Linked DNA regions of Oryzias latipes. The protein of the gene in region 2 purifies or fractionates together with the protein of the main gene of each other region. This does not show direct contact. Links are inferred from orthologs where the notes say so. Each region holds a gene or a part of one and is shown on either strand. Other genes may lie near its edges.

The links.
Region 1: the proteins of cdk9 (region 2) and mepce purify together in Homo sapiens (affinity purification with mass spectrometry; 10 studies listed by BioGRID and IntAct, counting the BioPlex papers as one, with this or other methods). This does not show direct contact. The link is inferred for Oryzias latipes from reciprocal best matches to the Homo sapiens genes CDK9 and MEPCE.
Region 3: the proteins of cdk9 (region 2) and paf1 purify together in Homo sapiens (affinity purification with western blotting; 3 studies listed by BioGRID and IntAct, with this or other methods). This does not show direct contact. The link is inferred for Oryzias latipes from reciprocal best matches to the Homo sapiens genes CDK9 and PAF1.
Region 4: the proteins of cdk9 (region 2) and immt purify together in Homo sapiens (affinity purification with mass spectrometry; 3 studies listed by BioGRID, with this or other methods). This does not show direct contact. The link is inferred for Oryzias latipes from reciprocal best matches to the Homo sapiens genes CDK9 and IMMT.

The regions. Positions count from the first base shown.
Region 1 is NC_019872.2:14,590,282-14,599,111, forward strand, and holds the start of mepce (7SK snRNA methylphosphate capping enzyme), read right to left. Parts: upstream 5,316-8,830; 5' UTR 4,841-5,315; intron 3,090-4,840; 5' UTR 3,043-3,089; coding exon 1,273-3,042; intron 1-1,272. UniProt on the Homo sapiens protein: S-adenosyl-L-methionine-dependent methyltransferase that adds a methylphosphate cap at the 5'-end of 7SK snRNA (7SK RNA), leading to stabilize it.
Region 2 is NC_019870.2:30,292,161-30,299,316, forward strand, and holds the end of cdk9 (cyclin-dependent kinase 9), read right to left. Parts: intron 6,636-7,156; coding exon 6,469-6,635; intron 5,605-6,468; coding exon 5,433-5,604; intron 4,095-5,432; coding exon 3,946-4,094; intron 3,878-3,945; coding exon 3,512-3,877; 3' UTR 3,306-3,511; downstream 1-3,305. UniProt on the Homo sapiens protein: Protein kinase involved in the regulation of transcription.
Region 3 is NC_019871.2:11,068,346-11,076,021, forward strand, and holds the end of paf1 (RNA polymerase II-associated factor 1 homolog), read left to right. Parts: coding exon 1-59; intron 60-1,282; coding exon 1,283-1,404; intron 1,405-1,510; coding exon 1,511-1,577; intron 1,578-1,648; coding exon 1,649-1,750; intron 1,751-1,847; coding exon 1,848-1,953; intron 1,954-2,423; coding exon 2,424-2,492; intron 2,493-2,691; coding exon 2,692-2,795; intron 2,796-2,862; coding exon 2,863-2,979; intron 2,980-3,061; coding exon 3,062-3,190; intron 3,191-3,366; coding exon 3,367-3,472; intron 3,473-3,618; coding exon 3,619-3,697; intron 3,698-3,835; coding exon 3,836-4,266; 3' UTR 4,267-4,606; downstream 4,607-7,676. Other genes in the region: glia maturation factor gamma, read right to left, coding at 4,859-4,930, 5,333-5,406, 5,870-5,952, 6,329-6,378, 6,593-6,642, 6,747-6,843, 7,265-7,267. UniProt on the Homo sapiens protein: Component of the PAF1 complex (PAF1C) which has multiple functions during transcription by RNA polymerase II and is implicated in regulation of development and maintenance of embryonic stem cell pluripotency.
Region 4 is NC_019868.2:4,715,871-4,724,036, reverse strand, and holds the end of immt (MICOS complex subunit MIC60), read right to left. Parts: intron 7,058-8,166; coding exon 6,926-7,057; intron 4,412-6,925; coding exon 4,282-4,411; intron 4,140-4,281; coding exon 3,532-4,139; 3' UTR 3,278-3,531; downstream 1-3,277. Other genes in the region: eukaryotic translation initiation factor 4E-1A, read right to left, coding at 1,836-1,922. UniProt on the Homo sapiens protein: Component of the MICOS complex, a large protein complex of the mitochondrial inner membrane that plays crucial roles in the maintenance of crista junctions, inner membrane architecture, and formation of contact sites to the outer membrane.

The DNA.
Region 1 (8,830 bases), on a different chromosome or scaffold from region 2:
ACGCGTGTTTACAAAGACCACATGTGTCAAACTCAAGGTCCGGGGGCCAAATGTGGCCCGCCATATCATTTTATGTGGCCCGCGAGAGCATAAAAGTTTTTAATTTCTTAGAATAAAAAATACAAATTGGTGTGTATTTATTCATATCTAGGGGGAATTGGACTTAAAATATCTGATTGACCAACTATACATTAGGACTTAAACACTGTTCATATAACCTAACCTGTCAGAATCAAATTTAAAAGGATTTATGCCAGAATAACAAACAAACATATGTTTTCTATGAAACTGTTATTGTCAATTTAAAAAGTTTAAATAAATAAATAAATAATGAGTTATTTAACATTAAGGAGTAGTTACATTTATTTTTCATTACATTTAGTTACATGTATAAGTTATATCTGGTGCTTTGAGGACAGCCGCCATGCTGATGTGGCCCTCAGTGAAAATGAGTTTGACACCCCTGACATAGACTCTTCATTGGAAGCTTGAACGCGCCTCGGCGAGGGTGGTGTGAACGTAACTTCAGACTGACTGCAGGAGGGACTGAGTTGTCTAGTTATAATGGTGCATGCCTTTACTGCAGTGTCTGTGTTATTTCTGCATGCTCTTTTTCTTTAAACGGTGGAGCAAAATGCTCTCTCGGATTACCACAAAACAGCAGTTCAAGTACTTGCATGAGCATCTGACTTGTAGTAAAAGGAGTTAAAAGACTGATGTGAGCAGCAGCTTAAACACTGCATCCAAGATGGCAGAGACTGTGGCACTCTGCAGCCTCACAATGATCTCAGGTGAGAACAAGAAGGCCCGACTCTCCAGTCTCTGGTCTCAGCACTTTGGTGGAAGCAGCATTTTATGCTGTTAAATATTCATTAAGTATTGACTTCTGCTGTCTTCTAAGGAAACTAAAATACTGTCCGTACAAATAGATGAGTCGTTATTTTTTACTACTAATGTTTCCATAACAACTAGATTAGATTAGCCACATATGTGCTGACTTGCTAATTGACTTAGCATGCTCCTGTTAGTTGATTAACACGAACAAAAAAAAAAAAAGCCAAGATTCCAACAGCTATGAAGACAATGGAGGACATTCATACAAACAAAGATCCTCATTATATACACTGACATGTAGACAAGAAGAATGTGCAAATTCTCTTTTGAAGTCTGGAAGCAGAATAATACATTTCTGTGATTTTTTGACATAGCTAAGACATTAGAAACACGTGAAAACTACGAAGATTAAAATGGAATTGCCCAACATCAACGTACCTTGATAAAGGAGACATTGGCAGGAAATTGCCCGGGCTGAGGGGTGGGTGTTTCGGTCAAAGGAGGTGCAGCGATGGGTCCTCTGGAGATCCGTAGAGACACGGGAAAGGAGCAGCTCACTGACTGATCAGCGCTTTGCTTTTCACAGTCTCCTTGTCCTGTCTCTCCTGTTTTGTCATCTTGCCTTGGAGTCCCTACATCATCTGTGTGACAGAAGCCATTGTCACTCTCAGCCTCCGCAGTGCCTCTTTGTCCTCTCTCTGCTTTGCAGTGCTCCTCTCTGCGCTCGGTGTCCCTGTGCTTCTCGTCTGTCCCCGTGCTGACATCCTTGTCATTTCTTTCTTCCTGTTTAGCAGCTTGTCTGGCCTCCTGGGTTTGCAGCTCAGACAGATAATGCCTAATGTTTTTACGAGCTGCATGGATCAACCCACCATCTATATCGAGCCCCAATATGCGTGCAGGCCGCAGCATTTTGGCAATGTAGAGTGTTAAGTGACCTGAATTGCACCCCAAGTCCAGCACATCTTTACCTTCAAACCACTCCGGACGCAATACACGAACACGCGGGTCTTCACTGTTGCCCGGGTTGCGATAACCATAATATTTATTGTAGTTTCCATACTGGAACTTCTTTTGGTGTCCTTTTGCCTGACTGTGAGGTTGCTGGTACGAACGTGACCCCCCTCCAGTTTTGGGACCAATTTTTGGTGTGTGAAAATAATTTTGTGCTCCGCCTGTACCACAACTTTTGTCATTTGGTGCTAATTTACCGCTGGGAGTAGAATGGGTGACAGGAGGATCAATTTTGCCTGAGTTGCGCCTTCGTCTGCGTCTTCCGGCGTGGTGGCTTGGCCCCCCCGACAGGGGGCAGGTATATTCTTCGACAGGTACAAACAGCGTCTCATCTTTGCCGCTTGCTGCGTTCTCAGCTGTGCTCTCGTGGGAATCTGCCGTGACACTAGAGAAACTCATGGACTCTTTAGAAGAATCGAGAACCGAACAAGAGCCTTGCGTACCTAAAAGTTGTGTGGAGGAGCTCATTTTGACCTCACTTTTTGTCGATTCGGAGTGGTTCGCCTGCGTTATTGGAATCCCACTACCAACTCCGCCTCCTCCACCACCCCCACCATGATGTCTGTTGCGATGCCTTCTTCTTCCTCCGCTCTTGTAGGGGGACACCAAAAAGCAGTTGTCTGCTATCCCGCTGTTCAGGTTCAGAGGATCAGTTATATCTCTCGGAATGAGGATCTCCACTGGATCTCGACTCTTTGCAGGAAGTGGAGAGGATTTTGGTGTCTCTGCGTTAAGTGCCCTGTTGACCTCCTCATCCAGGAGGCTGTTCAGATTAAGCGGGTCAAAAATGTTGCCACCCAAGAGAAAGTTGGTGGGCAGGACAGAGTCACTCTCGGAGATGGCTCTTCGTCTCCTCTTGCTCGATGTGGGATGTTTGAAGTTAGAACTGGCTGTGTAGCGCCGCTTGGTTAATTTCGTTTGCTGTTGCTGTTGTTTGGAGTGAGGGAAGCTGTTCCTGCGATTGATGCTGTTCTCGCTCCCTCTGGCTTTTTGTCCCGCGCTGTCTGTGCTCGTGTGCTTTGGTGAGGCTGCAGTGCCCGGGACAGGACAGGCAGCTGCAAAGTCATGCGTGGCTGCATTTTCCTCCATCATCACGGACACACTGCTGTAACCTCCAGTACAGTCTGAGAGCTGCAGAGATGGCGTTGACCTGGCCTCTAAACTGCCAGTTTTTATGGCGTCCTCCTCGACAGACATCTCTGTTAGTTTCCAGAACTGTTCATTGAAACTTGTTTGTCCTTTGTCTGAAAACAAGGAAGAATACAGCTGTTAAAGGACCATCTGATCTCTTATAATCCCTTGAATAAAACACCGTAAACATTAAATTAAGTTCCAAAAAAGTGCCAAAACAACCGATAGGTAGATTTTTGTTTAATTGCATTACAAAGAATGCAAAAAAAAAAGACAATGATAATTGATGTTTTTGCCAACAAAAACTTTAAATACCTAATCTGATGAAAGTTTTTGTGGCGTTTTTCTAACAATGGAGGACAAGTATAAAGACAATATAGCTAAAAATTTTGTTTCTGAGTGTTCCTTTATTCCAGTTGTTCCAAATCAGGGGCAGATGAAAAATGCCATTGGAAAAAGCTTGAAGCTGTGATGTGAAACCTACAACGACAAGCAACAAATTTATTCATCCTAGATAATGATATAGGTTGTTTTTTTTTGGACTAAAAACGACAAAATTTTAATTAAAAGACCACTGAGAACACTTTTTAAAATAGACTTTAAATAAGTAAAATCATAATTTGGGATGTCATCTGCAACATGCTTTGGTCAAAAATGCTAGTACAGACAAAACATCTTTCTTTTTTAACCACACTGTTCCTGCTTGGTTCATGGTAGCATATAGAGGGAGGTTCCACCCGTCTCTGCTGCTCTACCTTATCAGAGATACATAAGGTTTATAGCATTTGTGCCACCTGATTAGAAGGCACAAATATTCCTCATGCACTTCCTAACAAAACTACATTCAAACTTAAACTAACAGAGAAGGGACAGAAGGTCATCATATTCTCCAAAACCAAAAATACACCTTTAAGATGTGACGTTGCTATTGTTGTTGCTATTGTTTTTGTGCCTGTGTAGAAGAAACATGTTTGTTCTTCCACTATTCCTACTGTTTAGAGCCTAAAAGAAAGGTTAATGCTTTTGTTGTTGTTTTCAATTGAAGAGTTAACTTTTAAAAAAAAAAAAAAAAAAGATGACAATCCTATATTTGTATATCTACAACTTCCTGGATAAACATTTCTGCAACTTCATAATTCATTATCAGCTTTACATTAAAAAAATAGATTTGGATGTTACCAAAACTAAAGTTTGAAGTTCTCAGAAAGTGGTTTTATAAAACTGTAGGATATTGTCATGATGATGTCATTTGCAAAAAAATCCAAACAAAATATTTGGATTTTCAGTGTTTTCGGTTTTAGCCTTATTTTAAAATCATGCAAACTGCATTATCTATGATTGATAAAAAAAAAAAGAATTGATTTGAGATTCATCGACATTGTTTTAAGGAAACTTCAATCTGTTCTTTATGGTTGCATGCATTAAAAGTCATCTGGGGAGTCAGTGTGCAGATTCTGGCCTCCATAATTAAGTCAGGAAAGTAATAAGATGGACAAAACGAACAGCAAATAAAATCATAAAGGAGAATCCGGGCATATTGAATATATAAAACATATAATTTTCTTAATAGTAAATAAATTACTTTGTTTTTAGCTGAGTGTTGCATTTTATTATATTAATTTTAAAGGTCCTACGGTCCGCGGCAGATTTTTCGTTAGCATTGCCCTCCTGACAGGCTGACATCTGAAGCGTGTCCACTCGGAGGTTGCTGACCTGAGAAGTTTCTGAGTCAGAGTCTGGAACAGTAGTTTGGGTTAGCATGCTAGCCCTTAGCTCCTCCATCGTGGGCCAGAGCTCTGAAAACGTCGCCTAAACGTTTAGCTCTGGAGCAACAGTGGTGATAAATAAACGACCAAGTACCCACCTTCATGCGCTGACGGGTGAATCCAGAACAAAAATAAACAAACAAATCCCAAGTCCGGTACGGGAAAGTGATACTATGTCCCAGATGGCCGCCGAACAGTGTGGTCACCGTCAGGATCCCAGTGTCACCCCGCGGTGGTGCTCTCCCCGCCTCCGGCCGGGCCGTCTCCACCCCGCTCTGCTTCCACTCAAGCTAACGTTAGCCTAGCTAGCACCCCAGTGTCTCCGAGCCCAACGGCGCTCACGGTTTACACGCAAAGCACGGCCTGTACCCCACTAGGTCTCTCTTGTTTCCCCCACTGCCTTGTCGACTTGTTCGGTCAACTCCAGGCGGACAGTTTGGTGAATAAATGACAGCATTCGCTGACGAGAGTCGGCATGGCGGCGCATCCGGGCTTCGAGTTGTAAGCTTAACGTGACCGGGGCGGAGATCTGTGAGCTCGCGCAAGGTAGTGGGAACTCTTTGCCATTAGATTCAGACCCCTAATCCCAGAAGAGGCCGCGAGCGAGTGGAACTTTTAATGACAGTCAGCAAACACATTTTAATGAACAAACTTGGCCATTGTTTTGGTCTAAAAACGGGACTATAAAGGCACAGATGCCCAACAACACAAAGTAGGTCCACATTGAGCAATTCTGCGGCCCTGACCACCCTCCCACCACCTCATCCTTCATCCATCATTTTAACAGTAATCTCTCATCTTCAGTATATTAGTAGCACTTTTTAAAGCATAAAATAAATCTTATTGTCAAGAGAAAAAAATTATAGCAATACCATTAATTATCTTCTGTCTGTCTGTCTGTCCGTCCTTTAAGTGAAATAATGTGATAAAGTGCTTAAAAGTTTGGAAAAAGCAAAATTTCTAATAGTAATAGATTTAATTTCAGATCTGTAATTGAACGAGAGTATAAAATAATACTGACTGTCAAACACCTCAACAGTGTGTGTTTAGATTTGTTTAATCTTTTGCAGCAGCAGTCAAATGAATAACCTTTGCTTAATTCTAAGTCATGGAACAGATCCACAAGTGGCCTCCTCAGTAACCTGCTCACAACTTTACTTTGGATTTTCTTGAAAGGAAGATTCTTAGCAGAATTTCAGATTGATGTAACCTTTTACATTAATGCATGATCGCTGCTTATAAGAAATTGGCCAAACAGTTGTGAGATGCTGTCTGATACAAAGCTGTGAAAGTACAATAGTTTCCTGTAATATTTGTAACTATCTAACTTGGGAAAATAAAGTGAATTTAGGAGTTATGAACTTTCTCATCATTTTATATTACATTTGTTTTCTTTTTGTAAAGGGCTATTTCTTGATTTATAACAGCTTTCTTTTACGGCAGCAAATTTCAACACTTTCAAGCAAATTCATTACAGTTAGCAGCCTGAAATGCTTAGTTTGAAGCCAAAAGACATTTTAACACATTTTTAAAAAGTGTCTCAAATTTGACATTTAGCTGATGTAACAGCTATTTCTAAATTAAATGACCACAATTAATTTTTCATTTTACCACGCATGAAGTGATATTCATGCTAACACAAGCACAACTTTCTAAGTAGCAAATGAAAACATTAAATATTTGCTTTGAATAACTTGTTTTTTTTTCTTCCAAACCCTTTTTTTTGCATTTGCTACACAAAGCTCTCCCTGTATTTTGATTGAAAATCATCACTCTCAACTGTTTATAGATCAAGCCATGTGATTTTCTGTCTTACAGCCTTTATTACGTTGAGGGTAAAATCAAAATAGTTATTTTTTTAAAAACAAATTGGCAAAATATATGGAAGGTACAGTAACAGGTAAATGAAAGAAAAAAAATCAATGACTACAATAAACTATTCTTTCTTGCAGTAGCATGTTTTTTTGTACTCTACATGTTATGTATTTTTATTGTTGTAGGTCAAATGAAAGTGTACAACTACAGTTGTACACATAAGCTTTAGGGTTGTTTTCTTCTACATACTTCATATTTCCAACACAATTATGAAGTATTTCTGGTATTTAAGTCTATTTGGGTGTTAGTGTGAGATATGACTGCCATCATGGACACCTTGATGTTGCTTCAGTGACCTTTTACATCTGTTTTCTGAATGGCCACAAGGGGGCGATCAAATCTTTTTTTTTTACCATTTTTCTAAACAGTTTTATCCTGCGTTTAACACTGGATGTTCTTTCAGAATTTAATTTTTACGCGTTTTTTAAGGCTATATTAGTTTTCCCTTTCATCGTTGTAAGTAAACAGACTCGATTTTGATTTGTAAAATAAAATATCACTTAACTTTGGATGTATATGTTGAGTTACTGTAATTGTGACAGGCACCAGCACAATGTTTGCATGCCCTCCAGAGGGAAAACTGCTTATGTGCATGTGGTCAATCGAACATTTCAAGTTCATAAGTAAATTCTTATCCAGAGTAAAATCCTCCAGTAATATTCAATAAATGCTTGAATGCAGCTGTAACATCAGTGTTATCTCTCTGTACTGTAGGCCTGGTTCTGATGGCTATCACAAAACCCCACAAAACTCCACAAAAACAGAAATTCAAATCATTGCATCAATTCTTAAAACAATAATACAATAATAACGACTATCAGTGACTTATACATGTAATATTAATAATGCAGAAAGTTTGATATATTTTTCCCCTAACCCTTAACATTATGCTAATATAAAACTTTTTGGAAGACAATATAATAAAAATAAATAACAAAGTAACATTTGGAAAAAGGGAAAAAAATGTTTCAACGGGTGTTTTATTATCTCTGGTAGTCTGAGTGTGGAGCATGCTCCTAATTGCTTTTCAAATCAGTGCAACAGACTCTCCGGTTTAATGAGTCACCCCTCCTTTGTAGTCTCTATGGAAGAAAACTAAAACGAGAGGGTACCTGTCCCCCTCCTTTTCTGTCACCCTCTTTTCTCATGGTAATGTGGGTGCGGTCTTCAATCCCGGACACCATCTGCCCTTCCTCAGGGTCTGCGCCTCAAGCGCTCTGGACATATTCAATTGTTTGTGTGTGTCCAAGCAGAAAGTGGTGAACACATATGGTTCTTGAGGCCCTCTGTGAAGAGCACGAGCCGGCTGGTCATTATCCTGCGTGTGACAGAGGGAGGGGCCGGCTCGCGTGTCCCGTGTGCGGTCACATCAGAACAACCCCCATGTCTACTCTGTGAGTTCACACTCTGTGCCACTGTGAGTGACCGTTGGCTGCTGGTCAGCAAAGTGGTGATTGTGTCATCTTTCACGTGGGATCAAAAGCGGGAGTGATTGCCTTTTAAATGACCTGCCTGATTTGAACTTACGAATGATTCCTATGAGTTTAGGTAGACAAATGTGAACAGTGTGGGATGCTTTTCTAATATTGATATTATAAACATACATTTGAATAAACACCTAAAAAAATGCTGCAAAGGAGAATGAAGGCGACAAAAACATTGAAACTGTCAAACTAAGTATTCTGCAAGTGCAGTTAGATATTAAAGTAACTACTTCATTCCTAACAAAGAAAACACATTTAGTAATCTTCTTGAAGTCTTTAGCTGTTAAAATAGGAGTAAACTGTTAATGGTAACACAATTGTGGAAAAAAAATGAAAGGAAGTATGTCAGATTTGTGATATCACCCCTGCAACCACTGCAAAACTAGTTTTCTACCTCATTTGAACTGACGAGGTGGTCCACCAGTTAACGTGCACCACACTGACACACAGATTATGACTTTCCATCAGAGCTGCCCCCCTCGTTTAAAAAGCTGCATTCTCTTGGCTGCACCGAGATTAGTTATTGAACTGTCCAAGCAAAGGGGGAACAAGGCCGCTTCAGAGCCACGCCACACAATGAGCCAGCTGTCAGGGGGAGGGGCTCGATCAGGCCTGTGTTGTCATGGACAGCATTTTGCGTTGCCCTTTGGGAGCTGATCGGTGCCCCCACGCCCAGGTCTGGTTAATTGTTAGATGGATCGGACGCGAAGAGTGCGTGACGGCTTATAC
Region 2 (7,156 bases):
GGTGAATGCAGCCCTGTCTGCGCAGATTCAGGTGAATGCAGCCCTGTCTGCGCAGATCCAGGTGAATGCAGCCAAACTGATTGGACGGCGTTTCATAATACAGATGGACAACGACCCAAAACATCCAGCCAAAGCAACTCAGGAGTTTATTAAAGCAAAGAAGTGGAATATTCTTGAATGGCCAAGTCAGTCACCTGATCTGAACCCTTAAGCAGCATTTCACTTGTTGAAGACTAAACTTCAGACAGAAAGGCCCACCAACAAACAGCAACTGTTTGCCGCTGCAGTAAAGGCCTGGCAGAGCATTCAGAAGGAGAAAACCAGCATCTGGTGATGTCCATGAGTTCAAGACTTCAGGCTGTCATTGACAACAAAGGCTTTTCAACCAAATATTAGGAATGACCATTTGGTTTGCACTTATTTAATTTGTCCAATTACTTACCAGCCCATGAAATGAAGGGACTGTGTTTAAAAATGTTTTAGTTTTTCACATTTTTCTGCAATCTTTTTGTTCAACCCATGGAATAAAAGCAGAAAGTCTGCACTTCAATGGCATCTGAGTTGTTTTATTTCAAATTCACTGTGGTAATGTACAGAAACTAAATCAGACAGAATGTGTCTCTGTCCAAATATTTATGGTCCTGACTGTAGGTTTACCTGCAGCTGTTTTGTCATCCAAGGCTGTCTTCAGGATCTGGACCTGGTCCTGCTCCAGCTCCAGACCACGGACGTTCAACCGTCAGCATGTTACTGTGCTTTCATTTCCCCCAAATGTCTGCTTTTTATTGGTCATTTCAAACGATTTAACAATTGAATGCAGCTAAATAAAAAGAAGCGTCTTCAGAACGCCGGTCTGCCTCTGTGCTCAGACTTGGCACAGTTCAGGAGTCCTTCACACGATGACGGGCATCAGGACTGATGATCTCCTGGTTCCTTCGCTGTCCGTTTGTGTGCAGATGGCTTCAGCATTAAGAGGCCCATCTGTCTGCTGGACTCCTTCAGAATGGCTGCTAGTTGTTGTCATCCTGTCGCCACACATGCACCCCCTTCCCAGACGTGACAGTGGAGGAGCTTTGGAACCAAAACGGTAATCCATCATCGGAGCAGAACCGGCCTGTGGTGGTTTGATGGTTATGAACACGCAGCATACATGTGTGGAGGAACGTGCACATGTATGCACTGCACAAAAACCAAATCTGGACGGCAACTATAAAGGAGAATATTTACTACAAACCACAACTTTTCAAATAACATGAATGCCACTTAAAGCAGATACATGCAAACTAACCTAAAGACATAAACATAGGCAAGGCAAGTTTATTTGTATAGCACAATTTGTACACAAAGTAATTCAAGGTGCTTCACAAAACAGAAAAATGCATTAAAATCACAATACATCATAGAAATAATCAACGTAAAATGTACTTTAAAAAAAAAAAAAAAATTGAAAATTGATTTAAAAAGAAAGGAAGGAAAGGAAAGAAAAGTGCAGATAGGACCTTTCAGTCATATAAACGGCTAAACAGAAATGTTTTAAGTCTAGATTTGAACATGAACACAGAAGACGCCTGTCTTACGACTTCAGGGAGGCTGTTCCAGATTTTAGCTGCAGAATATTGAAACGCTGATTCCCCTTTTTAGTTCTGACTCTGGGAATCAACAGGAGGCCGGCCCCTGAGGTCCTCAGAGTACGAGATGGTTCATATGGCACTAACATGTCAGAGATGTACTTTGGTGCTCGGCCATGGAGAGACTTGTACACAAGCAGAGCTGCTTTGAAGTCTATTCTTTGAGGTACAGGGAGCCAGTGCAAAGACCTGAGCACAGGACTAATGTGATCATACTTCCTGGTTCTGGTCAGGACTCCAGCAGCAGCATTCATACAAACATACAGACACAAGCTGGAGCAGAAGAAACACCAGTGACCCAAAAAGGCTTTCAGTAAATCATTCATTTAAAACAAATGAACAATAAAAGAAACTGTTTGAAACTTATCCTGTCCAACAGCTGAAGGCCTCTTTGTTGGACAGATTTGACTGTTACAGTGGGGGTTCATGGATCCTCAGACAGACAGAGTATATTTATATAAACCCCTTTAGGATTTGAGGCTAAGCTTTATTTATAATATTCATATTTGTATGTATTCCTTGTTGGACTAGACGGAAAAGGAGAGAGAGAGTGGGGTGTTAGAGGGGGGGTAAGGGGTGGGGGGTGGGGGGCTGATAATACAGAGTCATAACATAATATCCTCAGTAAATTGCATGACTTAGTTCACACATCAACCAATAGTCTGCACACAACTGTTTACAGGATGGAAGTCTATTCATACATTCATGATGGAAGATTTATCTCACAGGACTTCTGCACCCAGACAGACACACACTAGATCTGCATTACCAGTATTATTGGAGGGGGTGTAAAAACAACCCCCACGCCCATATTTGTGCTAAAGTCAATCAGCAGTTACTGAGGCTTTCTCCTGCTGCCAGCTTCAGTTGCACATCTTGAAGGCGTTCAGCTGTGATGCCAGAGGTGAGCTGCTGATGCTGCATCCTCCTTCAGAACTAAAGGTTTTCATTCCAAATGACAGCTTTGTTTTGGAACAAACTCCTTATCGCTCATCACTTTACCACATCATCGAATCATTCGGTCCTTGTTACAGGGCCACGCCTCTGGTTTTGTGGTCACCTCCTGTTCTGTCCTTCGTCCTGGGAACAGATGTTCCAGTGTCGACCCTCGTCTTCTTCCGGTCTCTGAATCCAACGCCGCCGCAGCAGATCTCTGACCGACCTCACTCAGGAAGCCTTTTCCTGCAGCCGGTGGGTCTGCTGAGCAGCCCTTAGACTGAACAGCCTCTGCTCTGTCCGTCCTCTCAGGTTTGTGGCTTTGCTCTTCCGTGCACACGTCCATCCATGATGGAATAAAGACGTCGCGTTCTGATGCCGTCACGCTAAACGGTCTCATCAGAATCCAGCCGGGAATACACAGACCTACAACGGTCCTGTACTGCGGTCTGGCTCAGTCAACCGTTTTCCGGGTCGTTGGACCCAATTACCTTCAGGGGTTTCCATGTTTACGTGCTTCCACATGTAAACAAACACGTTAGTTTTCCTTCTGGCTCAATTGTAGAACATGCCACAAACCATGAATCCAGGTAGCTCCTCCCCCTCCTAAACATCCCAAAGGAACAATGACGGCGTTTAAGTCAAAAGCTCAGAGGGTTTAGTGTCTGCGGCTCTCATCGTCACTTCCTCTCTAACCGACTCACACAAGTAAAAACCACTTTCCTGCTTTGCATTCAGACGTTTCCATAAATGTTCACGATTGTGTTGCTTTATTACAAAGAACATTTGAATGAAAACAATCAGTTCAACTGAAAAAGCTACCAGATTCTGGATAAAGGAGCATTTCTGTCCGTTTCATTCCTGATCCCATAAAACCTGAACGTTTGATCATAACTGGCCTCACAGCAGAGTCTCCGGTCAAACTCGGTCCAAGACGTCCAGTGGGGCTAAAAGACTCGGTCGAACTCCGTCTGACTGGTCGTGGCCGGGTTTCGGTTCTGGTTGGGCTGCTGTTGGGGGATGTGCCCCCTCCGTCTGGGCGGGGCCAGGTACTCAAACATGGACGTGTTGTGAGTGGACAGCATGTTCTTGAGGTCTGAGGGCATGGGGTCGGACCAGAAGAAGTCGTGGTTCAGGGCGTCGTCGCTGTCTATGCGCTGAGCCGGGTCCAGAACCAGCAGCTTGTCGATGAGATCCAGGGCGTAGGCGTCCTTCACGTAGGCTTTGAGGCGGTCCTTGACCTTCCTCTTCTGGCCTTTGGGAAGCTCCATTTTCTGGTACAGTTCATACTTTTTGTCCACGCCGGGCCACACCTGGAGAAACAGAAATGATTGACAGCGAGCTGCTGCAACGCAGAGCCCCGCCCCCAAAGACCACTCGCCTCTGCAGTGATGGAGCCACACAGCTGGCTGATCAGGGTGAGCTGGTGCTGCTCCGTGTTGCCTTGCATGATGGGACTTCTGGTCCACATCTCCGCCATGATGCAGCCCGCCCCCCACAGATCGATGGGGGGGCCGTAGTCGCGCTCCCCTGCAGGGAAGGAGAACAGGAACGCGATTGGTTTCCTGTTGAAGCCGTCTGCTTCTCGACTCGTCAGCCTCTAAAGACCCGTTTCCCTGACGACCACGACGTTTTCAGCCATGTAACCTGAAACCCGCGTCGTTTTCCGGAACCGTTTCTGCAGGAGTCGGGGCCGCAAAAAGGGGCCATGCAGCATCTGGGTCGCATAGGAGCCCCAAACCAGAGCTGTGAAAAGTATTTACAGTCCGCATTTTTTAATTTTACAGCTGTGCACATATATTTACATGATCAGTGACAGACACTCCTCATGTCTGGAAGACGACATTTCTATTAGGTCTGGTTCTTCTTGTAACAAGTTCAAATGTAGAAACCGATCTACGTCTGAAGTACTGAAGCAGAAAGTGTCCGTTAAAACCTTTTGGTTCTCTTGTTTCTTCACTCCCAGCTCAGTCAATCCTCCATTCTGGCCCCAAACCCTGAATCCAGTCACGTCACTTTTTAAAAAAAATCATTTCACAAATGAACGACTGGAGTCGCGTCGTCACCACGCATAATATTACTACTAAACACTCTCCATAGTACTGCTTCACAGTGATACAGCACAAGATGGTTACCGGTCCATAAACGCACAGGAAGCTTTAGGCTCCAACATGTGTCACGGATAACCGGATGAATAACCGGACCTCTTGGTGTCGTTGACCCGGATCTGTTTTCTAGACTGCAACGCTGGATTTCTACCAGACATCCTGAAACACTGAGCCGTGTCCAAACACGGCTTTTATTTCTGATCCCCGATCCACACGGATCCCTGCCATGGTCCGGCACACGCGTGTACAGTGGCGTTCAGCGGTACCGCCGTGACCCAGTTTGAAGGCTTGTTGTCCTGGCGCCGTGGCGGGACAAAGACGCTGCTGTCTGTCCCAGTGCGACGGGCTGGTAGCAGCAGGGAAGGTGGTAAAGCCGGACATCGTTGCTCCGTTTTTAAATATTCTTTTGTCGTTTCCCAGATGAACCAGAAGACTTCCTGGATCTGGGTGGTTTTTTACAATGGGAATATCGTGAGTTCAAAGGTCGGTAATGTTTAATAAATAGACCTCGATGAACAAATGCTTGGATGTGATGTGTGTACAAGTACTTAAATATATACTATGAAGGCTTTTTTCTTGTCGTTTGGTCCCATCTTTCTTTTTTTGCTGATCTGCTGCAGATTTACTTTCCAACAACATAAATGTGAAATCACCAAGACAACAGCAGGAATGTTCCGTTTTTGCACAAAGCCCTGAAAGACGACATTCTAATGTTTAAATTCCACGTTTCCAGCGTTCCTCAGCGGTTTGCGGCGTTTACCTAACAGCAGCTCTGGAGGTCTGTACCACAGCGTGACCACGCGGTTGGTGTAGCGGTTCCCCTGGCTGTTCTTAGCCAGGCTAAAGGCCCGGGCCAAGCCAAAGTCTGCCAGCTTGAGGACTCCGTCTCTGGTGATGAGGACGTTGGCGGCCTTCATGTCTCTGTGAAGGATCTGAGAACATGGAGGACATGCCGATCAGGTCTGTTCATCAGGTAGGGTTCATCTAGGCCAGCCTGACTGTAATAATGAAGCTGTTACACTAAAACACGACAAACTACAACAGCTGGGGAGCCGTTCCTGTGTTTACGCTGCTGTGTGTCGTCCCACCAACAACAGGTCGACAAATGTTTCTACTACAAAAGCCAGGAACTCCATAGATGGTGGACTCTGACCTCATCTGTTCATGAAAACCAGCAGCTGATCTGAGACTCAAAGTGGAAAAGCATCAGAGTATCCGTGCCACAGACATGATCTGTTCTTCTATTGACTTTATCCACTAGAATCAGAGAAAAACGTAGAAAAGTATGAAATATTGACAAAAAACAGGCAACAAAAACTCCCATCACCCACAGCGGGAGGCTGAACTTCTGCCACCATTTCAATTGTGATGTCATGTTAAACTGGCCCTGCCACAGACTGGTGACCTGTCCAGGACGCCCCCCGCCTTTGCCCACACGTGGCCGGGATAGGCTCCAGCAGCCCCGGGACCCCGAAAGGGACAAACGGCAGAAGAACAATGACCGACTGAATGTTAAACCATTTTATTTTGCATTCAAAATGTTAAAGTTCTTTGACTTTTCCAGAAGGTCTTTCAAACTTTTCAAGGACCTAGAAATGACATTTTCCAAAACCTTTCCAGGTTCTTCATGACCGTATGAACCCTGACCCACGGCCTTGCAATGCTAGTAATGTGTTGGGTGAAGATTTTTAAATAACCTTTTCAGCCTCAATACTAACAACGTTTTGCTTTAGAACAAACGGAACATTTCAGAGTTACAGTCCAAGTGAAGTTGGAGGCCAAAGTAAGAACCCCACCTTGTTTCTGTGGATGTAGTACAGCCCGTTGAGGAGCATCTGCATGACCTTCTTGATCTCCGCCAGCGTGAACTTCACGTTGGCGTTGCTCAGCAGCCCGGCCAGGTCGTGTTCACAGAAGTCAAAGACCAGGTAGATGCTGCCTTTATATCTGTTGAACTGAGTAGCTGTTGCAGGAACAACAAAGAAACGTCAACCAACACACCTCAGGATTACGGCACACACCATGACCCAAAGTATGAACCCCTACACATCTGAGGTAGTGCAGGGTCAGGGGGAGTTCAGACTGGAAAGGTCCGGTCCAGACCCAGTCCACTAAATTTGGTCCAGATCAAGTCCTGAACTTTGCCTTTGGTCTGTATTCAGGCTGAATTTCAACCCAACTTTTCTGATTCAAACCAAACCAGACAAAACCTCACAGCAGAAGATCTCTTCAGTCATTGGCCAGGAATTGCGAGGGCGGGGCAAAGCAACGAGAGAAAGAAGAATAGAATCATTTTCACTCCTTGTTGGGATAGTTCACTGATTCAAACTTTATATTTCAGTTTTGAACGTCTGTATCAACGTCAGGTTAAACACTTTGGTTGGGTGGAGGCGTACCGATGTAAAGTGTTGCCAAGACAACGACTAAGAAGGAACGCTGAGAAGAGTTTATGACGTACCGATTGTTGGAAAACAGTAAGAAGTG
Region 3 (7,676 bases), on a different chromosome or scaffold from region 2:
ACCTTGCCTGACATCCCCTTTGATCCGAAATTCATCACTTATCCATTTGATCAGCACAGGTAACTATTTGTGTTTTTATTAGTCCTCAACAGGGGCTACGATATTACAATGTATGTGAAAAAAAATGATTTTCTCCTAATTTGAGGACATCTCTACCTTAATCCACGTGCTTATTTATCTACAAATTGATTAGCGTTTGGTTTGTTGTGTTTTGCACACTGGGACGACTATGGAAAAGTGCAGTTGGGTATCACTTTAGTATATTTGGTTTAACCCCCCAAAAACAATGGGGACATCAGTGTAACTTAAGAACATAAGAAATCTTCTGTTGTCCAAGTGGTATATCAGGAAAAATGGGTCTGGGTCTTATGGGTTAAGCCATAGAGCTTGCAATTTAGTAGCATTTAATGTAATTTATTTATTTGTCAAATTTCCATTCTGAAACCAATTATGGTTATAAAAAACTGGTTTCAAATAGTTAGTGATTTAAACTGCACATAAAATTTGTAAATTAAAAAGAAAAAAGAAAAAATACAACAGTGGCTATAAAGAATTGGTACACGGATTTGATGTATTTATATTGCCAGTCCCAGGAAATGTTGGTTTGTGTTCGGGATGCGACAATTCACTTTCTCCACGATTCGGTTCAAACTTCAATTTTTAGGTCAATATTTTGTTGCAACAACAAAAAATTACAAATGCAGAGAAATCATTCTTTTTATTTGCTAATAAGCAAGTAACAATGAAGAAAAAACTTTCAGTTGGGGTGGTGTAATGTAATAAAATTATAAATCCTTCTTAAATTTAGCATGTGTTTGAGGCTTTCTACGTAAACACGTAGCGGTTAACCTTCCCTACAATTCTGTTCACTGGTGCAACATGTGGTCTGGTGTGAAACCAGGAGTTGAGGCATCCCTTGTGGATGCATATAAACATTTCATTGTGTGGTTTTAATGTCTATATCTGTTCATTTTCTTGGTTTTTGTTGTTCCTGTGTTGTGCCTTGAAGCTAAAATGACAATATTGATATACTTTGTTTATATCAAGTTTTTGTTGAGTTGTTTTTATAGTTGCAAATATAGAGGTGGACCAAAAATGGGCAGAAATCACAGGAGTTGCACAATCTCTTACCCAGTTAGGAAAATAAAAACATTTAAACAAAGATTTGTCATCAAGGTCAACAATTACAAGACTCTTCTAGGAGGGCTAGAGATTATAAAGTTGAAAATCAACCAAGTGTAACTGTATACAGATTGATAATGGGTTTTTTTGTGTGTGACAGATTTGTTCAGTATAAAGCCACCTCTCTAGAGAAGCAGCACAAACATGAGCTCTTGACTGAACCTGACCTTGGAGTAACTATTGACCTCATCAACCCAGACACTTACCGCATAGACCCAACCAGTAAGTCTCCATCTGTCGACTTGTGTCGCATTCGTTTAGTGGACATATTTGGCATATCCAATGTCTGTGCACGCTGAGCCCATGCTTTATTGTTTTAAATGTTCAGTACTGTTGGACCCTGCTGATGAAAAACTGTTGGAAGAAGATATTCAGGCTCCTTCCAGCTCAAAGAGGTATGATTATCAAACATTTGGCTTAGTTGGACATATGATCATATAAATCTACTTTTCTTTTTTTAAATAAGGTCACAACAGCACGCCAAAGTGGTGCCATGGATGAGAAAGACAGAGTACATCTCCACAGAGTTTAACAGATATGGTGTTTCTAACGAGAAGGTGGAAGTTAAGTAAGTTATCATAGATTCATAGAAGGATATAGCGGGACATCCTGCAGTTTTTCTTTGTTGCTGTTGACTGAAGTCAGTTGTGTTTTGTTGTGTGTAGAATTGGTGTGTCTGTCAAACAGCAGTTCACAGAAGAAGAGATCTACAAGGACAGAGACAGCCAGATTTCCGCTATCGAGAAAACATTCGAGGATGCACAGAAATCGGTATGCAGACTTCTTACCAACACGTGCATGGCCTCCAAACCTGAAATTGAAAAATATCAAGAAATGCAAATGAATACACACCAGTATGGTCTTGTTTAGCTTATTAAAATTGATTGTGTAGCTTAAGTTTTAGAGACTTGGATCAAATCTTTTTTTCAGTTACAGTACATGCAGAAATTCAGTTCTGATGTGTAACAGCATTGTAGAAATTGCAAGGGAATGCTAGAAAATTTGGTAAAGGTCACGCTGGTGTGTGTATATATGTGTGTGTGTGTGTGTGTGTGTGTATATATATATATATATATATATATATATATATATATATATATATATATATATATATATATATATATATATATATATATATATATATATATATATATATATATATATATATATATATATATATAAATATCTTGGTAAATCTAAAGATGTTTTTTTTTTTTTTTTTTTTTTCCTTTCTGCCACAGATCGCACAGCACTACAGTAAACCGAGAGTTACTCCTGTGGAGATATTGCCAGTTTTCCCTGACTTTAAAGTGAGTTTTACCACAAGATGAAATGCAACAGTTAATATTTTGGTAATCTCTTTTGAACATTTAAAATCACTTGCTGCAAAAGGAGAAACTAGAACAACTAATTAAATAAGATATGTGTATATATAGGGAAAAAAATAAGAAATGGTCTGTCCATGTTTATGTTCTTTTAATGATTTGTATGCATTGTGGCTTTCCTCAGATGTGGATCAACCCATGCGCTCAGGTCATCTTCGATTCTGATCCAGCTCCTAAAGACATATCTGCACCAGCAGGAGTGGAGATGATGTCCCAGGCGATGATTAGGTACATTCAGAGTTTTTATCCTGATGGTCTCTTTATGAAACATAAACAAACAATTGTTTTATGATAGAGGAATGATGGACGAGGAGGGGAATCAGTTTGTAGCCTACTTCCTGCCCCACGAGGAAACACTTCGCAAGCGTAAGAGAGACTCCGAGGAGGGAGTGGAATACATGGCGGATGATGTGTAAGTGGAAGAACGGCATTGTTAAAAAACATCTAGATGTTGTTCCAAAACAAGATCAATCTTGAGACTTTTTTCGTTTCAGTTACGACTACAAGATCGCGCGAGAATACAACTGGAATGTCAAAAACAAAGCCAGCAAAGGTTATGAGGAGAACTACTTCTTCATCTTCAGAGATGGAGATGGTGTTTATTACAACGAGCTGGAGACCAGGCGAGTAGAAAAATCTCAACAAATTCCTTTCCATATATTTTTAGTTAAATGTAAAACTTGTATCACTTGGCTGATGTAGAGAAAAAGTAGGGCAGGATCTTTGTTTTCCCAACAGGTTAGAGGTTCGATAAACAGTTCAGTACTTGTTTTTTCTTAACTTTAACTTTGACCTTTAGGGTGCGGTTGAGTAAGAGAAGAGCCAAGGCTGGAGCACAGTCCACAACAAATGCTGTGCTTGTTTGTAAGCACAGAGATATGAATGAGAAAGAGCTTGAAGCTCAGGTAAGGTCCTTGCTCCGTTTGTTTGTTTGTTTGTTTGTTTGTTTACACACACACATCTTTCAGAACAGCAGTTTATTGACAAAGGATCAGGATTTTTATGTTGCATGACACAAATCTCTTATGAATGATGTCGTCTTCATCATCAGGAGGCACGTAAAGCTCAGCTTGAGAACCATGAACCTGAAGATGAAGAGGAAGACCTGGACAAAGACATGCAGGACTCTGGTAAAGTTTCTTTTTTTTTTAATCATGCAAAGGATTCTGTAGTATTTTTTGTAACAACTGCTTTATTTTGAACTGTAGGAATTACTTCAGTTGCAATGTCAGTCATTTTTTTCATTGTTTTGTGTTTTTTTCTTTTAGGTGATGAAAAAGAGAAAGGAAGTGGCAGTGAGGCAGAGAACTCCGGCAGTGAATCTGAGAGGGAAGACGAAGAGCGGGAACAGAGCGCAGAGGAGGACGAGGACAACGAAGCCAGACGGAAAAGGCGGAGGAAGTCCAGTGGCAGTGCCAGCGAAAGCGGCGAAGAGAGGACCAGGGAGATGCGAGACGAGGAGGAGATCTTCGGCAGCGACGACGACAGCGATGACAACGAGCCCAAGAATTCGGCCAGAAGCAGCGGGGACGAAGGCAGCGATAGCGAGGAGGAAGGGCAGAACCGAAGGGGCACCAGGAGTCGCAGTGCCTCTCCAGCGCCCAGCAACCACAGCAGTGACCACTCCGAGGCGCAGGCTCAGAGTGGTAGCGGAAGCGAAAGAGCCTCCGACTCCAGTGATGCCAGTGACAGTGATTAAAACCTGCAGGCTGAAGAGCAAACCCTTTGTTCTCTGTGTGTTTGGGCTGATGGAGCTTATATGCATGTGTCCTTCCTCTGTCACCGAGCACAGTCGCAGAATTTGGCGCTGGAGCTCCATTAGTGTAGCTCCTCGCATCTTTACATAAGATTTTTTCTTGAATCCACTTTTTTATCCCTGAGATTTCACTTGGGTTACATTCATTCATTATCTGTTTGTACGCAAATCCTTTGTTGCTTGACCTTCAATGCAGCATAAATTTGTTCAATTTGATTTTGACAAACTGATTTCAACTCAGGCATTGAAACTGATAATAAATTACTGGTGACATTTTCCAAAAGTCTTGATTATTTTTTCTTTTTTTTGGAAAATACAACACAATCGAGCAGAACAGCTCATGACATCAATGACATTTGGTTTTAGTTCATTTGGTTTTAGATTTACAAGAACTTGACGACAAAAAAAGAAGAAAATATGAAGTTAAACACTTTAAAGGTGATGGAAAACAAAGTGGTTTAATCACTGATTTTAATTATGCAACAAATAAAAGTGGTAGTTGCGGTTGACAATGATGCTGCCAGACGATGCAGATTCAGCGAAAAAACGCCAGCTGGTTCTTCAGCCACTCTTCTGTCAAGTCATCGACATTTCTGGTTTCAAAGACCTTCCAGAGCAAAACAGTCACAAGTTAGGTTCATGCAACTGCACGTCAAACCAAGTGAAAATAGGAATTACATGTTATAGTTCTTGCAATTATACTTGATATTGCAAGAGTCAATTTGTTTAGCACATGAATGTTTCTTGGACTAAAAGAATAAAAGCTGAAATCTGAAAAAAAAAGACTTTGTAACAATAAGAGAATTAATAAGAATTTTTGGCTCTTTTAAGCTTAAAAAATTAAAAAATGAAAGTAATCGTAAAAAGTTTTACTTCATAAAAAATGTGATTTTTAGCAAGAAGCTGAAAAGGTTTTTATTTAATAGTCAATTTAAGTTGTCAGTTTGAATCCCACCATAATATGAGAGAGCTCTCTTAACATGCAGCCGCATTGGAAATCATTGTTTACCTTTGTGAGGTCTGCAGATTGCACGAGTCGATTCTTGCTGCCTGCATACATCATCTGCTGCTCTGGCTTACAACCTGGTGACAGCATGGACAATTTCTGCTGATTAGTCATTGATGAATAATTTCATATAAAACAAGAGGCAAACACAGCCGTAAATGTGTTACGTGGTGTTTATTAGGCAGATATAACTTTGCAGATAAGAAAAATCCTAAAAAGTCTTGCAGTTCAGTCGGGGGGGGGGGGGGGGGGGGACAATGGTATAAGCATCAGTGCAAACAGAAACTGTTGCAGAATTTTGGAAAATTCAAGAATCTGGAAAACTGCTAAATATATTTTGCAAGAACTAAACATACTTAGACAATTTTTACATTCAGAGTTTTTAAACTGTTTTTTTTATTTATATATATTTTTTGATTCTGTCAAAATGTGGGCTTGGAAACTAGAGCTAGAAATTATTTGATTGTAAATGTATTCTTTGCCAACAGAAGCTGTGATTTTGATATTAAACCTCCTGTTTTGTTAAAAGAGATTGCTTACCCATTGGACTGGAAAATATGAAACAGAGGGGATAAGACACCCTTCCATCAGCATGGACATATTTGTAGCTGTAGACAATAAATGTTCACGGTGGTCAAGGAAATACAACTTTTATTACAAGTCTTACAATTTAATATTTGAATACTAGACTAATATTTGTTTAGTGTACTAGAACAAAGATTAACAGCCTGACAGAATAAGAGTTTAAGGTTAAATAAATACGTTCTTACTCTTTATAGTCAATATAGATATATTGTAAATGAAAAGTATTCCTTTAGTATACTTCTTACACTACATGTACTATGATTTAATTGCTATACGTATACTCAAGTACACTTACTGAAATAAACTTCAAGTGAACTACTTTTTTTCTACAGGTAGTTTGAAAAAGACCCTACGTTCCAGGACCCTGTGAAAAACATCTACAGTAAACGAATTGACGTCTGCCAGTAAGGATATCTGGGTTGGCGCTCTGGAAGCTCATTTCTCAACTCCTCCATGGAAATGTCCTGGAAGACAGATCTGAGCGTCAGGTGTTTTCATATACATGTGTACCTTCACACACTCACACAGTAACCCTGGCCAAAGCTCTCACATATCACTGCATTTTGCTCATATCCCTAAAGTGATCTTTACAGTAGTGATCTGTAAGCTCAGTATGCATGATTGGACAAAAAATGATAATGTTGTAATACTGTAGTAAACATAAATAACAAATCTCACCTCGTACTCCTCTTCCAGGATAACAAGTTGTTTTTTCATGTCTATTTTCACTGTAAAAAGGACAATCATTTCAATATTACACTTTTGATGGTGTTTGGGTTTAAGCTGAGTTGTTAACTGACAGTAAAAACATGCAAGTATTTCTCACACTTACTCAGTATAGCAGCATTGTTGGTTTCTTTTCGAAATCTAAACTTCTTCAGTTTTTCTTTCAGACTTTCATCCACTTCACAAACAACCAAGGAGCTCGACTGGAAATGTCAAATATGCACGAGAAAAAGGTCAAACTGTGTGACGGTAAATTAAACATTATTTATTTCTTTTAACTTTTTATGCTAAGATCAAAACATCCTCCAGAAATGGAAATAAAGGGGCTGACAATAGAAGACATTAACAATATCTTTTTAAACCTAGATAGTTCTTTTTTGTGTGTTTTCTTTAAGCGTTAAAGTTAAAAAATGCTATTGTGACATACTGGGGGCAGGAAATGCACTGGAGCAGAGTGCAAAAATGCTGTTTCCTGTTTGAGAGATATGGGGGTTGGTTGACTTATGAAAACCCAGAATAAGTCTATGTTATTAAATATATGTTTGGATATACAAGTAGGCTTTGGGGAAAGCAAATCAGCTTAAAGTGGAAAGAAATGCATTGTCTTGTCTCTGCTTCACCTACCATCTTCGAAGAATCTGTCACTGCCTCTTGTCTTCAAAACGAAACCGCCTTGCAACAAACTGCTTTTAGACTAAGAAGACATCCCCTTTTACAGGACCCGGTGAGGGCAGGTTCAAAACAGAAGAGGGCTTGTTTCCTTTTTTTTTTTTTTTTTTTTTTTTTTAATTAAAGTGCAGCTGTGTGATGAACAAAGCCGTATTTAAGCATATTGCATTTTAAGAAAAAGAAAAAAAACAAGTAGTTTTAAACTGGACTAGATTAAGCTTTATTTTAAATTTTTTCAAAGGCATCTCTTGGCCACGTTAATAAGAATTTTGATTGAATAAAACTAAAGATAAATGTGAATGAGCAACAAATGCATTCTAAAAAGCCAGGCCTTGGAAGAATCATCATTTCAGAGACCTATTCAAAC
Region 4 (8,166 bases), on a different chromosome or scaffold from region 2:
AAAAGAAAAGTTGCAGCTGTTTTTTCTAAAAGTTAAGTTAGAAGATTTAAAAACTGATGCATGTTCGTTGTGGTTTCAAGATGTTTAAGAGGAGAGACTGGTTGTGCGCTGAGATGCTGTCATTTTAACCCAATGCATCATGGGAGATGTAGTGCAAACAGCCACCGAACGCAAACGGACTGGCGTCTCTGAGCTTCATTATTTTGTTCACTTGTTCCACGGTCTGACACCGGATTCTGTGGAAAGCTACACCGCTAAAGACGAGCTTTAGTTGCTATTTTTATTGGAACTGGGAGACTTTATCAACAGAATCAGAACAAGGAAGTGAAGACTTTAACCACTTTTGATTGGTCAGACTGAGGACATTTGATTAAGCCTCCAAGAATGATTGGTGGAGACAGTTAAAGGGGCGGGACTTTTTCAGAAATCAGCTGACGCTGCGGCTAAATCGCAGTACCATCATTCTTATCAAAATGTCTTTAATAGAATCAAATAATCACAAAGAAAAGTCTTTTATGATCTTTCATATTCCTAACTACTCAGTGTTTTATCAGGGCCTGTTTGGATGAACACAGAGCTGATTTCCTGGAGATGGGAAATGTTTTTAGATCAGTTAATGAGGGCAATTTCTCCCGGCACACCTGACCATCTCCCACGGCACGATGGTCTGGTTGAAAAACACTGAAGTAGGTGATGGTGATGAGTACAAAATCAGCTGCCAGGAGAAGGTCATTCTGGACTTTTATAAGGGCAGTTTCAGTGCTACGAAGGGGGCGAAAACCGGATTGAAAGGGTTCAAAGAGATCATTTTGATTAGGATGATGGTGAAGTTGGGAGGCGACTATTTTGGAGATGAAGGGGACGTTAGAAATAGGACAGAGATTATTAAAGGAATTAGGATCTGAACCAGGATTTCTTTAGGATGGATTTGACAGCAGCAGTTTTGAGGAGTGAGAGGACAATACCAGATGCAAATGAGGAGTGGTTAATAAGGAATATAATAATAATAAATGACAAACTAATAATATTAGAAACAGAGACGGGAAAGGACCATCAATGGAAAAAAAAGATTTATGACCTGCCATGAAAACAACATGAACAGATAGACATGTCTAGAGATATGAAGGATCTACCTTATGAAGGTCCAAATATTCAAATACTAATAGAGTTCAAGTTTCTTGATTTTGATATTTTTTTTAAATCACATTATAACAAAATCTTTTTTCTCTCTTTGTAAGAATTTGATAAAGCTAAACTTCTCCAAAATAATGACAAGTTTTTTGATGTTTCATGCTCAAAGCCTGGTATAACTAAGCAGACGTGATCTTGGAAAACTGTTCGCTGCACCACGTGACTGAAAACTATCGACCTCATACTTTTCCGGTGTGAACGGTTGTTCACCTTTCTGCACATCCCTTCACGTATGATGAAACAAGAGATAGTTCACCGTAGAAATCCTTTACTTGGGGATTCTCGTTTGAGGTTTGCGCGCTCCCGCGGAGGGAGCGGTGTGACGCTTTCGGTAGGCAGGCAAAACGTGCTACAGCGAGTTAAGAAGACGGTTAACAGCGGCTGTCTGTCTGACCATCTTCTTAACTCGCTGAATTTAAGCGAAGTTTTAACTGCGTCATTTCTAAAAAGAAATAAAGTAGTCTAACTTTAGTACTACCGAAGTGAAACGGTCGAATTTCCTCGTAAGTAAGTCAGGCAATACTTACTAGTGTCGCATATTTTCTAGTATCGTCCGCGTGTCGAACACCAAAAAAATAAAGTTTCGGTTGAATTTGTTTTGTTTTTTTAATCAAACAATTCAGCTATCAGTAATCAATACTTACCACTACGGCGGTCGCCATCTTCTGGAATTCCTCTCGCAGAGATTTTGCGTCTGTTAAAATAGCTAATTGCGGCACTTCAATACGCATGCGCAGGTGATTGATGACAAAGCAGAAAACGAGCAGATTTTCTTTGCGCCATTTTGATGAGACAGCTTTTTCAATCATCATTGATATTTATTGACATATGAAGAATTCCTTTAAAAAAATTTTTTCCCAGTTTCACCTAAAGAATATGCAACAGTAGTTGAAGTAACCAAACAATTGCAACTTCCTATTTAAAGGGGGGAAAAAAACTAATCCATAAATTAGAATATCGCTTTGGTTGAGGCGGATATTTGGTTCAGTCTCGGTATCATTAAGTATCTCTTCCTTTTTACATACAACCCTACCCATGGGTAGATTTTTTTTTACCGAAATGTATGGATTTAAATTTGATAAAATCTTGTTTATTTGAACAAAATACTGATATATATAACACATAAGAGGTATAATTTAAAATACAACATTGTACACAAAACATGTTCAAAAACATGCTTCATAGGTTCATTGGTTACTCTAAATTGTCCATAGGTGTGTGTGCATGGGTGTGGGGTTGTCGTCCTGCGACAGACTGGTGTCCTTTCCAGAATGTCCCCTGCCTTTGCCCACGAGTGGCCGGATAGGCTCCAGCAGCCCGTGACCCCAAAAGGGGGAAAACGGAAGAAGATGAATGAATGAACATTACATACATACTTGAAAAAATGTGGGCAGATTAGTTCTGGCTATTGACCAGCAGTTGGGTCCATTTTGTGGATCACAAGAAAAAACAATTTGTCATTTGTCTGTCCTTACATGCCCCCCTTCATCCTTTACTTACTCTGGATCAGTCATCGTGGTCCCTTTGCTGAAAAACCGCCCCAAAGCATGATGTTTCCACCCCCATGCTTTACAGTAGGTATGGTGTTGTTTGGATGTCACTTTAGCATTCTTTCTTCTCCAAACATGAGGAGTAGAGTTCTTACCAAAAAGTTCTATTTTGGTTTCAACTGACCACAGGACATTTTCCCAATTCTCTTGTGGATCATCTAAATAATCTCTAGCAAACTTTAGACAGACTTGGATATGTACTGGCTTTAGCAGGACACGTCTGGCACTGCAGGAGTCCAGTCCCTGGCGGTGTAGTGTGTTACTGATGGTAGCCTTTGTCACTTTGGTCCCAGCTCTCTGCAGGTCACTCACTAGGTCCCCAGTGTGGTTCTGGGATTTTTGCTCACCGCTCGTGATCATTTAGACCCCATGACATGACCCCTAAGATCGAGGATGATCATCAGCAGTTTGAAAGTCTTCCAGTTCTCATTCAATTATTTTATGATAATTGCCCCCACTGTTGATTCCTTCACACCAGTCTGCTTACCTATTCCAGATTCAGTCTTCCCAGCCCCAAAGAGTCAAAGAGACAGTGCCAGCTTTCCGGTTCACAATTTATTGAGTTTGTGTATTATTCACAGGAACACAGTGTGATTACAGATTAACACGAGGAAACTTGTTTTGTGACAGAAAATATTACTGAAATGAGACGATTATTCTTTTGCAATCTGACCATTTCAATTCCCCCAACCCCCTGGTCCAAGCTTTGGACAGCTGCTGTTCTTCACCGACATCCTTCAAGAAAACTGGGGCTCTTTGGAAGGCCTCCAGGCCCCTCTTCAACAGAGGGTCACGGAGCCTGGGTGGTGCCAAGGCCTACGGCATTGGCATAAGCCGACAGCAGGCTGACCACCTGCCTGGTCTCCAGCGTGAGTCTGGCTTCCGTCAGCCAGTCCTCCACCACCCTCCTGGATTCACCCTTCAACTGGTTCACCAACTTAGCCGCGAGCTCCAGGTCTCCGTGCTCCAGGCAGTAGCTCGCATATGACAAAAGCTTGAACGTGTCCAAGTCCTCGCTGCTCAGCTGTGTGGGAGGGGCCGCCTGCTGGTCCTCAAAGAGAAGTGCCGCCTGAAGGTAGGACAGGAAGTACTGGTACAGAGAGTTGTGGGATTCGTCGATGAGTGCCACCCTAAGCACCAGCGACCGTAGGGAGTTGAAGCGGGCTCTGAGGGAAGCCTCGCCGTACACACCGCGTGACAGCGACTCTGCAGGAAGAGCCTCTGCCAGGGCTGAGGCGAAGTCATCTTGCCTGCAGCTGTCGCGCACCATTTGGGCTGCGCTGTCCAGAGGCACGCTGGGCTCCTCAGTGCCGGCGGTCTTCAAGGTGTGGTTGAGGGCTTCCACAGAAAGCCACAGCTGATGAGCTCTGCGGGCCTCGTCCTCCGCCACCAGGTGACCTGCAGGTCAACGCACAGCCACCAGTCAGAGCAACCGTCTGTGAGACGCCCGCTGCAGTTCCAGCAAACCATTCAAGCTGTTCTGTTCACGTCCGGAGATTGGACTGGTGCAACGAGCTGCTGTGTGTGTTGTGTCACTTACTGTCGATGGCCTCCTCCACCCCCTTCAGGCGAGCATATGCAGCATTCATGTCCAGAGTGAAGCTGTCCAGCTGTTCCTGGGTCAGCTGACGGTGCAGAGTGTCCTGCTCCAGGAGTTTACTGCTCAGAATCTGAAACCAGAACCCACAGCAGCCCCACATTAGGGACAGGTACTGAAACTCAGTGCCACATACATACGTTGATGCTGGTACAGACATACAGTCAGGACCATAAATATTTGGACAGAGACACATTCTTTCTAACTTCGTTTCTGTACATTACCACAGTGAATTTTAAATAAAACAACTCAGATGCCATTGAAGCGCAGACTTTCAGCTTTTATTCCATGGGTTGAACAAAAAGATTGCATACAATTTGAAAAACTAAAGCATTTTTTTTTAAACACAATCCCTTCATTTCATGGGCCCGTAAGTAATTGGACAATTGACTTCCATGCTATTGCATATGCAGGCGTGGGCAATTCCCTTGTTATGTCATTATGAGTGAAGCAGATAAAAGGCCTGGAGTTGATTAGAGGACTCGTGCTGCATTTTGAAGATTTTGCTGTGAACAGATTACATGCAGTCAAAGGAGCTCTCCATGCAGGTGAAAGAAGCCATCATTAAGGTGAGAAAACAGAAAAAAACCATGCCAGAAATTTCTACAGTATCAGAAGGGGCAACATCAACAGTGTGGTACATCCTGAGAAAGAAAGAAAGCAAACACTGGTGAACTCAGCAACACAAAAAGACCTGGACGTCCACAGAAGACAACAGTGGTGGATGACCGCAGATTCCTATTCATGGTGAAGAGGAACCCGTTCACAACAGCCAACCAAGTGAACAACACTCTCCAGGAGGTGGGCGTATCAATATCCAAGTCTACCGTAAAAAGAAGACTGCTTGAAAGTAGATACAGAGGCTACACTGCAAGATGCAAGCCACTCATAAGCCTCAAGAATAAGAAGGCTAGATTGGACTTTGCTAAAAAGCATCTAAAATAAGCCAGCACAGTTCTGGAAAAACATTCTTTGGACAGATGAAACCAAAATCAACCTCTACCAGAATGATGGCAAGAGAAAAGTATGGAGAAGGCGTGGAGAAGCTCCTGATCCAAAGCACACTACATCATCAGTAAAACACGGTGGAGGCAGTGTGATGGTCTGGGCGTGCATGGCTGCTAGTGGCACTGGAACACTAGTGTTTATTGATGACGTGACACAGGACAGAAGCAGCCCAATGAATTCTGAGGTGTTCAGAGACAGACTGTCTGCGCAGATCCAGGTGAATGCAGCCAAACTGATTGGGCGGCGTTTCATAATACAGATGGACAACGACCCAAAACATACAGCCAAAGCAACTTACACGTTTATTAAAGAAAAGAAGTGGAATGACTAAGTCAGTCACCTGATCTCAAACCAATTGAGCAGCATTTCACTTGTTGAAGACTGAACTTCAGACAGAAAGGCCCACAAACAAACAGCAACTGAAAGCCGCTGCAGTAAAGGTCTGGCAGACCATTCAGAAGGAGAAAACCCAGCATCTGGTGATGTCCATGAGTTCAAGACTTCAGGCTGACATTGCCAACAAAGGGTTTTCAACCAAATATTAGTAATGACCATTTTGTTTTCAGCTCTTTCATTTGTCCAATTACTTAGGAGCCCATGAAATGAAGGGATTGTGTTTAAAAAATGCTTAAGTTTTTCACATTTGTATGCAATCTTTTTGTTCAACCCAAAAGCTGAAAGTCTGCACTGTAATGGCATCTGAGTTGTTTTATTTAAGTCACTGTGGTAATGTACAGAAACTAAGTTCTATCCAAATATTTATGGTCCTGACTGTATGTAGCACTACCAGTACCATAAAACAAACACAGGTTTTCGTGGTTCACTTCAGTGCTTTGTTTTGGACGTGTCAATCTACTCCGTTTTGCTGTGCCATTCTAGCCAATCATGTTACCGTTCCAGTGATTGTGGGCAGACTTACATAAGAATGGGTGTGGTCGTAAGGGTGGGCGGAGCTTCAGTCAAATATTGAAGGTTTAAGCGAGTGAAAGTTTGGCTGAACTTCACAGCAAAAGACTGGAATTAGCAGCCTGATGGGTAAGAGTGACGTGAACGACGCGTTAACTTCTGCGCGTGTGAAAACAGAGATGCAACGCAGACTGCCAGAAAGAATCAGATAAAGCCTCTTAGGCAAATTCACCTCCGTCACGCTGCTTAATCACATGTTTCTGGAAAATACTGGCATATTTGGGGTTTTTTTGTTAATTTTTCAAGCTCTGGGGACAGTTAAAGCACCAGAGCGGTTTGGAAAGTATTGGTCAGTACCAGATAACCAGTATTCATCCCTACTCAAACCGTACAATCAGGGAGGGATGGTGTGGACAAAAAAAAAAAAAAAAAAAATCAAAGACAATATTCTCCACAAATCTTAAGATCTGCTTCTTCTACTTCTTATACGTTTATGGTTTACTTTATTTTGTTGATTGATGATGATGAAGAGCTGCTAATGTCTTCATGGACTGGCCAGTCTCTGAGCTCTTAGCCCTTGTGCTATCCGTCTTGTGGGACAGATAGCACAAGGGCTAGTCCAACGCGCCCCGTAGGGCTGATGTCCCTGTCCAGTGTGATTCAGTGCGAACACCTGCTCAGCTTCAGCTCGCAGCTCCTGCTCCTGGACCTTCAGCACATCTCGGACGTGGTCCGTGTGAGCCGCCGCTTGACGCCGCAGCTGAGTCCTCATCTCCGCCTCCATCACCTCCCTCACTTCGTTCATCTGCACACAGACAAATACGCCTCATCGGCATCACAGTTCATCTGGTCGGCACCCTGCCAACACAGCAGGGGCTGCAGTCCCCGCTGGGTCCACCTGGTGGTGCTGTTGCACTCCGAGAAGACGACTGCACTTCACCGTCTTCCTTTTATCCTGAACTCTTAGTTTGTTCTGAGGCATGTTCACACAGACCGTCTATAGATTTAAGGACGTAAAATTGACAACTTCCAATCTCCCCATTTTTTTACGTCAATCTGAATTCAACTTAAGACGTTATGTACAAAGAAACTGCTCATTATGAGTACAAATCCATACCTTTGTGCAAACATGGAATAATGAGAGAGCGCTCTCACGCTGCTCACCTCTATGAACACAGCCAGTTAATTAAAAAGAGCAGAGAGAAATATTGCTTTATTCTGAAAAAAAGGAGGGATTTGTTTTTTTGGTTTATGGCTACTGAGTTCTGGATTCTTGATTCTGTATGGTTTTTTTTAATACCACATTCTTATTTGATGTCTGCAGTGGTGGTCAGATGACCATCAGACATGTCTTTCCATAAAGCCTTCTGCTCTTCAGCAGAAGCTCCTGTTTCACTCCGGGGTCTGGTGGAAAAAGGCAGAACGTTGTCAAATCTGGGACTGAATCCCAGATGCATAAAAAGTCTGAAAAATCATTTCTCAAAGCAGAACTGTGACGCGCCTCAGCAGTAAACTCAGGGGTGTGGCTCACAGGCTACAGGTTGTGAAGCGCCGCTCTGGTGCTGCTTTTCAGAGCTGAGATTCTCCCATCTGTCTCTTCTAGACTGTCTGCTGGGTTTTGTTCACATGTGAAGAACAGAAGTCCTAAAAACAGGAGCTGCAGCTCCTCATCCATCACTCATCCCAAAGAGAAGATTACAAGCTGCAGAAACACATTTTCTATCATTCAAAACGCTGATAAAGGAGTATTTACTGATACTTTTTCTATTTGCTTCTGATGGATGACCTTTGTTGATCTTATAAACCGGATCCATGTTGTCCTGATGTTAGTTCATGATGGATCTTAATTGTTTTCTAACAGCACTTTTCTTCCACCACAGTGGTTTGGGTGTGACAACAAGAACTAAGGAGGTT